Linked DNA regions of Ovis aries. The main gene of each other region encodes a partner of the protein of the gene in region 2 in a complex. Links are inferred from orthologs where the notes say so. Each region holds a gene or a part of one and is shown on either strand. Other genes may lie near its edges. The genes, in order: AP1B1, ARF1 and IQSEC2.

The links.
Region 1: the proteins of ARF1 (region 2) and AP1B1 are in contact, whole or in part, in a cryo-EM structure (PDB 7R4H), measured with the Homo sapiens proteins. The link is inferred for Ovis aries from reciprocal best matches to the Homo sapiens genes ARF1 and AP1B1. Residues at the interface, in NP_001019397.1 of Homo sapiens: Glu17, Met18, Tyr35, Ile46, Thr48, Ile49, Gly50, Phe51, Asn52, Val53, Glu54, Thr64, Trp66, Lys73, Leu77, Arg79, His80, Tyr81, Gln83, Asn84; in NP_001118.3 of Homo sapiens: Asn23, Asp25, Pro52, Asp53, Val55, Asn56, Met58, Gln59, Met83, Ile85, Met86, Ala87, Val88, Asn89, Thr90, Val92, Lys93, Tyr121.
Region 3: the proteins of ARF1 (region 2) and IQSEC2 are in contact, whole or in part, in a crystal structure (PDB 6FAE), measured with the Homo sapiens proteins. The link is inferred for Ovis aries from reciprocal best matches to the Homo sapiens genes ARF1 and IQSEC2. Residues at the interface, in NP_001019397.1 of Homo sapiens: Arg19, Gly24, Leu25, Asp26, Ala27, Lys30, Thr31, Ile46, Pro47, Thr48, Ile49, Gly50, Phe51, Asn52, Val53, Glu54, Thr55, Thr64, Trp66, Asp67, Val68, Gly69, Gly70, Gln71, Lys73, Ile74, Pro76, Leu77, Trp78, His80; in NP_001104595.1 of Homo sapiens: Arg810, Gln811, Gln841, Arg845, Val846, Gln847, Gly848, Glu849, Ala850, Gln851, Val853, Glu854, Glu858, Asp879, Phe882, Ile883, Phe886, Ala887, Ile889, Leu890, Asn892, Thr893, Asp894, Tyr896, Ser897, Pro898, Ser899, Val900, Arg904, Met906.

Annotation. Positions count from the first base shown.
Region 1 is NC_056070.1:68,660,037-68,663,783, forward strand, and holds the start of AP1B1 (AP-1 complex subunit beta-1), read right to left. Parts: upstream 2,655-3,747; 5' UTR 2,508-2,654; exon of another isoform or gene 2,445-2,507; intron 490-2,444; 5' UTR 440-489; intron 1-439. UniProt on the Homo sapiens protein: Subunit of clathrin-associated adaptor protein complex 1 that plays a role in protein sorting in the late-Golgi/trans-Golgi network (TGN) and/or endosomes.
Region 2 is NC_056058.1:2,770,636-2,773,547, forward strand, and holds ARF1 (ADP-ribosylation factor 1), read right to left. Parts: upstream 1,396-2,912; coding exon 1,248-1,395; intron 1,174-1,247; coding exon 1,063-1,173; intron 974-1,062; coding exon 849-973; intron 697-848; coding exon 535-696; downstream 1-534. UniProt on the Homo sapiens protein: Small GTPase involved in protein trafficking between different compartments. Modulates vesicle budding and uncoating within the Golgi complex. In its GTP-bound form, triggers the recruitment of coatomer proteins to the Golgi membrane.
Region 3 is NC_056080.1:51,139,303-51,142,949, forward strand, and holds part of IQSEC2 (IQ motif and SEC7 domain-containing protein 2), read right to left. Parts: coding exon 3,394-3,647; intron 1,004-3,393; coding exon 108-1,003; intron 1-107. UniProt on the Homo sapiens protein: Is a guanine nucleotide exchange factor for the ARF GTP-binding proteins.

The DNA.
Region 1 (3,747 bases), on a different chromosome or scaffold from region 2:
GAAAAAGAACACAAAAATCATTCCTGGGCTGTGAAAATTTATCAGTGATCTATCTTAGGCAAAAAGACCTATTCAGAAAAAGAAATACCTGCAAGTAACAGAAGCCCCTTTGATTTCTGGAAACACATTGGAGCTCAAAACTCATAACCAAGCCATGCTGGCTCACCATTAGCACATCACACTTTGGTGCCAAGAATGGGGGTTTTCGGGAAGTAAGCAAGCAAGTCATGCAACAGCTTCAAGGATAACTAGAGAAAGATGAAAGTCCAAGCCCAGAGCTAGCAGGATCAACAGATTGAACTTGTTCTGAAACACTTTAAGGAAGTGAAACAAGAAGGATGGGAGAGGTCCTGTGTACACAAAGGACTCTGCAGAGAGAAGTAACACCCCCAAAACCAGCCCCCAGGAAACATCAACTGCCTAGGGTCAAGGCACTCACCACAACAGACTCTGCACAAAGTCCTTGTCCAGCTTCCACACGAGTCACTGCTGAGGGGGAGGTGAAGGTGGTGGTATTATTGTAGAGCTGAGGGATAGGTGGCTCTGGGTCACGCTACCAAGAAGCTGCTGATCTGGGGGGAGAATCCACGGCTGACAGATGGGGGGACAAGGAAGGCTCTTTCCACCACACCACTGAGCTCTCCAAGTCACTCAGGTGAAGCCTCTACTCAAACTACACTCAACAGTTAAACTTTATACAAAGTCTGAGGGACCTGAGTCTTTGAACACTAGTGAAGCCACTCTTCATGAAGCTGCCCTGAGGGGTTGAAGGAGCCTGGTGGGCTCAACTCAGGACAGGGAGCCAGACACTCTGAGCGCTGCTCCTGTTCCTACCATCTGTGACGAGTCACTTTATCTCAAATCCTCCCTTGGAAGGATGGGGATCAGGTGACAATATTAAGTTTCTGTGAATTCAATGGAACTAGGAAAACAGACAGTGGAGTTTAAAAACAGGTACTGCACAGTAATATTTATACCTCAGCTTTCTTTATAAGTGCGTGGAAATCCTCACAGGTTCACTAAGGCTTGTAAAACCCCGGAGTGTGTAGGAAGTCAGCAGGTCTGTGCTGCTATCAGGGAAACTGAAGCCGAACTGCAGCACGTGAATGTCTGCAACCGAGTAAAGCTCAGACTCACAAGACCTAATCCTCTGGCCATGAAACCACCTCACTGTCTCCCAGGCAAGATGTGTGTTCTCCAGTCAAGAAGGCATGGGACCTGCACTTTTCTCAGAGACTCAGGTCCTTGCCTTGGGAATGCTCTTCAAGAACCTAGGGCCAAAAGATACCCTAGGGGTCATGTGGTTCCTCCCCTTACTTGAAAAAGAATGCAGCTTGACCACTCTCAAGAGAGGTGCAGCATATTCTTAAATTCATTGCATGGCTAGACTGTTTTATGTCTCGCAGTTCTCAACAGTTGGGAAAAAGGCCCCTTCTCACCCTGAACAGAAATCAGTTATAGCAATGGCCTAATTTCATCCTAAAGAAAGGGAATCAAATGCTCCTTAGGAAGGTAGATGAGAAGAAAGCAAGCTACATCTCTAAATGCTATTGTTCAGTCGCTCAGTCATGTCCAACTCTGCGACCCCATGGACTGCAGCCCACCAGGCTCCGCTGTCCATGGGATTCTCCAGGCAAGAATACTGGAGTGGGTTGCCATTTCCTTCTCCAGGGAAATATATCTTTATATAGATGCAAATAAATTTAATGGCGGCTAAAGATATTAAACAGCCCCTAAATGCCAACCTTGCTTCAGTCTCAGCACGCTGCAGGTCCCTGCGAGCCCAGGTAGGAACCCTGGCATTCATCCATACTACTCGATTGACCTTACAGGTGTGATTTAACTTTTCTGTGCCTCAGTTTCTTCGTGGATAAAATGGGGATAATAATAGTAGCTACCTCACCAAGATTGCTGGGAAGTTTAAATGCGGCATTCTAAGCACGGTGCCTGCACACAGCTCAATAACCAGCAGCTAGCATTCCCATCAGTAGTTCTGGCGTTATTACAGGGGTCCCCAGTTACCTCGTCTGTGAGGCGCCTAGGGACAGACCAATCCTCTGTTTAACCCCACCCTAGAGGCGGTGGCGCCAGGCCGTTTCATATTTTTTTTTCTGTTTTTGAACCTTGGCAAAGAGATAAGGCCCTTAACGACAAGGAGGCCTCAGGACAGCCACGGCGCTGAGTGTGCAGGGGGAACCAAGACCCGAAGAGAAGTTTCCTGTCAGGCCAGGCACAAGCTCCCCTGGGCCTAAGTCTAGGAGTCTCTACGGGAGGGCGCCCCGGCAGGGACTGCGGACCTGGGACGGCTGGGGTGCACGCCGGCGGCCAAGGGGGCGCGAATGAATGAACCCGCAGCCCTTCTGCCTCCTCCCGTCCTGGGAAGCCACTCTAGACCCTCCAGCGCCCTGTACTCTCCGTGACCTTTGACCCCAGAAATCCCTCACCTCAGACTCCCGACTCCCCGCCCCACTTCTTCTCTGGCCTCGCCAGGCTCCCCGCTTCCTCACCCGCAGGTCCGAAAGGCTCCTGACGCCACGGCGCGGCTCGACGCGACAGGAAAATGTCCGCGGCCTTGTCCTCCCGCTCTCCCGGTGCGCCCGCGCCGCCGGACGCTCGGAGCCCCGCGGCTGTCACCTGCCAGGCGGAAGTGAGCTGCCCGCGCGCGGGCACTTCCGGTGGACGCACAGGCTGGGGGCGGGGTCAAGGGTACAACCCGGGCGGGGGCGGTGGCAGCGAGGCGGGGCCAGGGGGCGGGGCGTCGGAGTTAACTCCGCCCTCGACACGTTGCTGCTCCGCCAAGCAAAAAATACCACAAGATGGTTGGATAGCATCACCGACTCAATGGACATGAGTTTGAGTAAACTCCGGGAGTTGGTGATGGACAGGGAGGCCTGGCGTGCTGCAGTCCATGGGGTCGCAAAGAGTCGAACACGACTGAGCGACTGAACTGAGCTGAACTGAGCCTATATAACATGACGGAGATGGAGAAGATCATAGAGACTTTGAGGTCTATTTTTCTTTGTTTTGAGGTCAGCTTCGCTTCTGTGTTACAAACAGGAAAACTCAGTCTCTGAGAGGCGCCAGTGTTGCTCAAGATCACTTACCTGTGAAGAGAAGAGTTAAACTAGAGCTGTAAGTCTAACCTACCGCTTGAAGCAGCCCTTCGGGGAATTCCGCGTAAACCTCACACCTCCAAGGAGAACTTAAAAGTTCCATTTCCCGTTTTGCTGGGTCGGCCAGGCCAGGGTTGCTATAGGTATCTCACTCCCAGCTCTGGTATTATTAACTTTCTCCTCCTCCTAGATAATTTCTGATCATCTTCTTAAAAACATCTAAAATAATATTTGCATTATGGAAATATACGAGTAAGCAAAAGGCTATGTAAAAAATCCTGCAATCCTGCCACCCTGAGACAATAATTTTTAAGATTTTGGTGAATATCCTTCCAGACTCGATATATCCATTCAGTATTTTTAATTCACCAAGATATTGGTGAATTGGTGAATTATTGTTTCCCAAAACAATAAATACATTTCTACTTGGTGTTTTACAATATCTGCATGGAATTGCGCAGTATGAACGGCACCACTGTTCTCCGAAACAGTCCCCTACAGTTGTGCACTTTATCACTAGTCTTTTAATATTATAAAATGTATAATATTATATTATACATTTTATATATTTATGTATATATAAATATATTTACTTATATATTATATATAATTATAATACATAATACATTTATTT
Region 2 (2,912 bases):
TCCCAGCGGGAAACAGACCACCGGTGGACTGGACTCAGGCCGTCACCGCAGAACCTACATTAGGCACATTTCTCCCTTCTGTGTGTTCAAGTGTTCTCCTTATTTTGTATTTGTAACTATTTTAAAAAATGCACTGAGTTTGGGTTAAAAACCAACCACCAAAATGGATCTCAACACAGACCTAAAGCCCAGAGGAGGAGTATTGGGCTCGTCTGACACACAACTCCTGGATGACCCGTGTGCCTAAAATCCCTTCTGAGTACTAAACAGTGGGTTGATTTTCTTTTTACAATAAAAAAAGCTGAGTAATATTGCATAGGAGTACCAGAAACTGCCTCATTGGAAACAAAAACTATTTACATTAAATAAAAACCCAGTTGCAGGCTGCGTCTGCACATTTACAGCATGGTGAAGCACACTGTGACCGACCATGGAGACAGCTTCTGGCACTCACACCACAGGGGCACGTTTGCCACATGAGAGTAAAGCGAGGGTAGAAGGAGGGAGTGAGAGGGGAGGAGAGAGGATGACAGCTCATTTCTGGTTCCGGAGCTGATTGGACAGCCAGTCCAGTCCCTCGTAAAGCCCGTCCCCGCTGGTGGCGCAGGTAGCCTGTATGTACCAGTTCCTGTGGCGCAGAGAGTGTAGGCCCAGCTTGTCCGTGATCTCGGCCGCGTTCATGGCATTAGGGAGGTCCTGGGGGTGGCAGCACAGCAGGCGTGGGTCAGGGGGAGTGCATGGAACCCTTTCTACCTGACCTGTGGCCCCCCAGTCAGACCTCCAGCCCTGAGAGGCTGGCTGCCTGACGTGCACCCCCACTGGCACACAGGGTGTTCAGTCACACGTACCTGTTTGTTAGCAAACACGAGCAGAACGGCGTCCCTGAGCTCGTCTTCTGCCAACATCCTCATGAGCTCCTCGCGGGCCTCATTCACACGCTCTCTGTCATTGCTGTCAACCACAAAGATGAGGCCTGCAGAGGGGACAGTAAGCGTGACTGCAGGCACCCGGGACACCCCGAGCCCCACTCCTGAGGCGTGTAACGGGGCAGCTCACTCATACCTTGTGTGTTTTGAAAGTAGTGGCGCCACAGAGGCCGGATCTTGTCCTGGCCGCCCACGTCCCACACAGTGAAGCTAATGTTCTTGTACTCCACGGTCTCCACGTTGAAGCCTGGAAGAGAGCCGGGTGAGCCTATCCCCAGGGCCACCACCACCTCCCAGCCTCCCAAGGCCCAGCGTCCTCACCAATAGTGGGAATGGTGGTCACAATTTCACCCAGCTTCAGTTTGTACAGGATGGTGGTCTTTCCCGCAGCATCTAGGCCCACCATGAGAATGCGCATTTCTTTTTTGCCAAAAAGGCCCTTGAAGAGGTTTGCAAAGATATTCCCCATGCTGCACACCGGTGGGGGCAACACTGGCCAGAGAAACCTGCAGGAACAAGGAGTCCTGGGGTCTTTTTCTGTGCTGCCCAGGGCCAGGCAAGCAGGAGCAGCTCAGAGACCGCTCACCCAGAGCCAGGCTGAGGCAGCTGCTCCTCTCACAAGCTGATGAAATTCTGGTTCCTATCCAAAAGAAAACGGTCCTGCCCACCTACCTCTTGAGCCTCTAAATCAGCCTAACAAGGCAGCATATGGGACTCTTAGAACAAGGCTGACTGGAATGTGAAGCGGCTGCTCCATCATCTGAGGAACTTATAGCCAAGGCCTGAGGGCACCTTACCTCTAAGTCCTCCAACCCGCCACTCTGGGGTGCAGTAGTGTGGCTTTCAAATGGACGCTAGGCTCTCCATAACCTAATGCACAGTTCTTCAAGGGGCCAGAAACAACCACTTCAAGGCCCTACCATGTCTCCCAACTGCCCCAAGTCTCGATGAAGCAGAGTTCAATGGTAAGACAACTAACACCTGAGAACCTAGGAGGGCCCTGGCCAAGACCAGGAGCCAGCCCTTCCCAACATGCTGAGAGCTCAGCACACCCTGCAGGCAGGACTGGCTGAGTGAGAACACCCAGGGCTCAAGAGCAGCACACCTGCTGCTCAGTCCAAGAGTATTCAGCCCAAGGGTGAGCCCACAGCATGGCCACGTTAGGGAGCACCTTGCCAAGACCTGTGGTCAGCGCTGGTCGGAGAGGTGGCCTGCGCGGTGCAGCCACGAGTGTGCAGAAGCGCACGAGTGTGCAGACGCGCACGAGCGCTGTGTCTGCACCGCCCCCCACCCCCCGCCAGCTCGCCTCACTCAGCAGAGCAGACTGGGAGCAGCCACTGAGCTGACTGGACCCCAGGTCCGAGCCCAGGCCCCGACACCCAGACCTGCAGGAAGGGGTGAGTGATCACAGAGGTGGGGATCTCTTGTACTGGAAGACCCACATATGGCCTCTCCACACTCAGTATATTCATCCTTCAACTATTTTATTTCCAAACAGGGCTTTAGGAAAAAAACAGTCACTTTCTCAAATGCTTAGGAAATCTGGACTTAGCACCTAAGGTGAAGTCAAGCTGTGGAGGGCTGAGCAGCCTTCAACTGGGCAGATTCTGTGCGAGTGTTGACAGAAAACCAAATCAACCACAGAGAGCTTGTTCTAAGCTGATGGGAGATGCTCACACCTCATCACTGGGAGGGTGCTGGTGGAGGCTATTGTTGAGGTTGGGAAGGAGTCTTGCCCTGCATACCTAACCTCCCAGAAGTAACTATGAGCTTCCCAGTGTTTGAACTTTGGATGGATACTGCTTGGGTAAGAGGCCAGTTCCACGGAGGACGCAGATACGGGCCTGCCACAGGCACTCCCCCCTCCATTCTACGTAGGGGTTGTGCCCCAGACCCCCACCACCCCACGTCAACTCTGATGACAGGCTCACGTGGAGCTGCCAGGTCTCCATCGTAAGCCCCTTTCTGCCTTAGCCATCAGGGAGC
Region 3 (3,647 bases), on a different chromosome or scaffold from region 2:
GAGAAATGCCATCCACAAAATGGCGGCAGCAGGATCACTGCCTCCAGGAGTCTAAGTGCCTGCAGCAGGGTCGGTAGGGGCGACAAGGTGGGAATGGGAACACGTACTTATTGAACAGGTTGAGGCCAATTCGGTAGTGCCGCCTCTGCACCACATCGTTGTTGAAGGCTGGCGAGTCCCAGCTGTGCCTGGTCTCCCGCTGGTAGGTCTGCTTGCACAGGCCGGTGGCTGGAGGCTCCCTCAGGCTGTCCCGCGAAGAGGAGCCAGAGCTGCAGTTGATGGTCTCGTTGGAATTGCTGGAGCTCTCAAGGCTCTCGTTATCTCCACCATCAGAGTTCTCGCCTGCTGCCTCGCACTTCCCCAACCTCCGACCCCCAGCCACACCACTGGGCCCAGTGCCACTGTTGGGGGCTGGTGGTAGGGGCCCTGGCGGGGCTGGGGCTGGGCCCTCTGGGGCCGGGTAGTGGCGGTGTGGGATTGGGGCCCTGCCTGGTGGCCCCTTGTGCTTCAGGGTCCCATGGGGGCTACAGCCATCAGCCTCATACACGAGCTGACGGTGGACAGAGCCGCGATCTGAGCGGTCACTCAGGTCCACGGAGCTGTCACTGGGAGGTTCAATGGTAAGCAGGGGCAGGTGGGCAGCCCGCAGCCGGAAATCCCGACATTCCAAGCACCCAGGACCCCTGCGAGTGCCTTCCTCACGGCTACCATCTTCCCGGGACCCTGCTGGCACTGGTGGAGGAACTGGAGGGAGAGGGGCTGGTGCCCAGAACTCAGGTCTGCCCTGGGCGGGGGGCTCTGTGCTAGGCAGTCGTTCAGGGGATGGTGGGGGAACTGGGTCATCCAAGTAGAGGGGAAGGTCACTGAAGGATGTGGCCGAGCTGTCCTCTTGCTGTTCCTTTGACTCTCGCTTCTCCAGCTGGGCTGACCCTGGTTCCTCAGACATGGGCCCCGATGGGTGGCAGTTCAAGGCCTCGTCAATGGATTCAGCCAGAGACTTTACCTGAGGGGGAGGGGAAGGGGGAGGAGGGGAAAGGAGAAAAAGGAGGGAAAGATGAAGGACAGTGGGATGGTGAAAGGGTGGGAATGAGGGAGGGAGGGGAAAAAAAGGGGCGGGGGGATCTTCCTGGTGGGGCAGCCAGAAAAGTGCTTCCCCTCCCCTACCTCCCCAGATTCTCTGCAGGACATAACTCCCAGGGAGCCATTGTGAGCTCACAGGACCTGGAACTTATGCCCACAAGTTCCCTTCTCAGACATCCCAATACCTTCTTCACGTCCATATAGACCCAAGCCAAATGCCACCTCCTCACTAATCCCAAGCCACATTCCTGCCTCAGCCTTCCCTTAGGGTAAACCAAAATCCCATCTGCCTCTGGGCTCCCGAAGCCCTCTGTCTGGTTCTCTTAGGAAATCTATGATATTTAGCCTCGAGAATCTGGACCAAAGCTGGCCTCACTCTGGTATCTAGCCTCCCAACTGGTCCCTAATGATCCCCACCTCCTGCTATTCACACCCTCATGTACCATAGTGTCCCAGGGTCGGTCTGTTGGACCGGCAGCATCTGGCAAATGTGATGGGATGTCACTTCCGAGATTAGGTTAGGAAAGACTGCAGCTTCTATCCTGAGTACTCTCACTCGCTTGTGCTCCCTCTCTCAGATCCCTCGCTCTGGCGGAAGCCACACTGTGAGCAGTCCTATAGAGAGGCCCATGTGGCAAGGCCCTGAATCCTCCTGCCAAGAGCCAAACGAGTGAGCTTGGAAGCAGACCCATCAACCCCGGTCAAGCCTTTAGAGACTACAGTCCCAACCTATAACTTGATCACAGCCTCATGAGAGACCCTATGCGAGAGCCACCAGTCAAGCCACCCCAAGACTCCTGGCCCTCAGAAACTATGTGGGATAATAACTGTTTGTTGTTTAAGCTCAGTCTTTACATTCAGTTTTAAGCTACTAAATTTTGGGATCATTTGCTATGCAGCAATAGATACTTCCCCATTAGACTTGAATAGCACTGAGAGGGGGGCCCAGGCCTGGTTCCTGAATCTCCCCACCAGACTATGAGGCCAGTACTTGAGGGATGGGTCCAGGCTGGGTTTCTCTCTTTTTAGCTCAGCTTGACACAGAAGAGGTGTTCAATGAAATGTGGCATATGAATGCGTAAATGAGTGATTTAGATCTTCTCTTTAATACTTCTTTCCTGTCTTCTATCTGCTTCCTCTCCCAACCCCATCACCAACTCCAGGGAAGCATGACCAAGCTTAGGGCAGGGCCAGATCACAGAGGTTAGAGCAGAATGATTTCTTCTCTTATACACTTTCATTTATTCATTCAACAATTTTTACCAAATATCTTTTTGGTTTTAGGAAGGAAACTAACACGTACTTAGCAATGCCATATACTAGGTGCTTTCAGATATATTATCGAGTTGAACTCAGCCTTCCAAACAGCTCTAAAAAGATGGTTTTAGCTTCATGTTATTGATCATGTTTCAGTGGAGTTAAACAGTTTACCCATGGTCACATAGCTGGGAAATGCCAGAACTGGGATTTGTACCTGATCAGCTGCGCTGACACACTCCAAGCCTAGAATGATCTCCCACCACTATCACTGCCACTTACATTCCCACCCTTCCCTGCTTTTCCTGATGCAATGCTTATGCAAGAAACACCCTTCTGACTATCTCTAACTTGCTAACTCTTCGCTGCCTGCTAAGGCCCAGCTCCAGTGCTGTTTTCTCAAAGAAGCCTGCTCTCGTCCTCCCAGAAGAAAATTTCCTCTCCCTCCTCTGGGTTCCCACAGCACTATATGGGATCTCTTCTCACGGCTCTGAGCACACTCTTTCAGGAAACAGTCCTGTGCACATGTGCCTGCTATTTCCTGCTTGCTTGGGGAGATCCTTGAGAAAAAGAATCCTGGCCAATTCACCTGTCTCCCCCACAGTGCCCAGCACAGAGCCTGGTCCATGATCGTGTGGTGTAAGGGAAAGCTTTGGAACCAGACAGAGCTGAGTCCTGATCCAATTTGGAAAAGTCACTTCACCTCTCAGGGTTGTGGAGCCTCAATTTCCTCCTCTGTAAAACCAGGATAGCACCCCCAGTCTCGAAGGCCATTTTGAGGCATATAGAGGACCTGATATAAAGTAGGAGCTGTTAGTTAGGCCTTGATCTGATAGTGGCTCATGTTCCAGACTGAGAACTTGCTTGTTTGAACAATATAATTTTTCTCTTGCCAATCCTTTCTCATCACCCTCACGGTCCCTACTCAGATGGTAGCTGTTTATTGTTCTCAAAACAACAACTTGTTGGGCAACTTCCTTGAAGTACAGGTAAAAGGTTGTAGTAGTAGCCAGAGCATGGAGATGGAGAGGAAAGGCCCTTTTCAGGGATGCTGACCTGTTTGGAGAAGGAGTCCTCAAGCTCCGTGATGTCGTTAGAAAACTCTCCAGATGTGGTGACGGAGCTTCCCCCACCATCGATGCCCCCTCCGCAGGAGCCGCCATATGGGAGCCCCCGTTCAAGCCGGTGGCTCCGGGCCCCAGCCATGGCACCCTCGTCCAGCGAGGCAGGCTTGCCCTCGAAGTACGCGGGGTTCTGTGCCTTCTCATACTCCTCAAAGGAGAACTGCATTCGCATGTTGGAAAGGATGA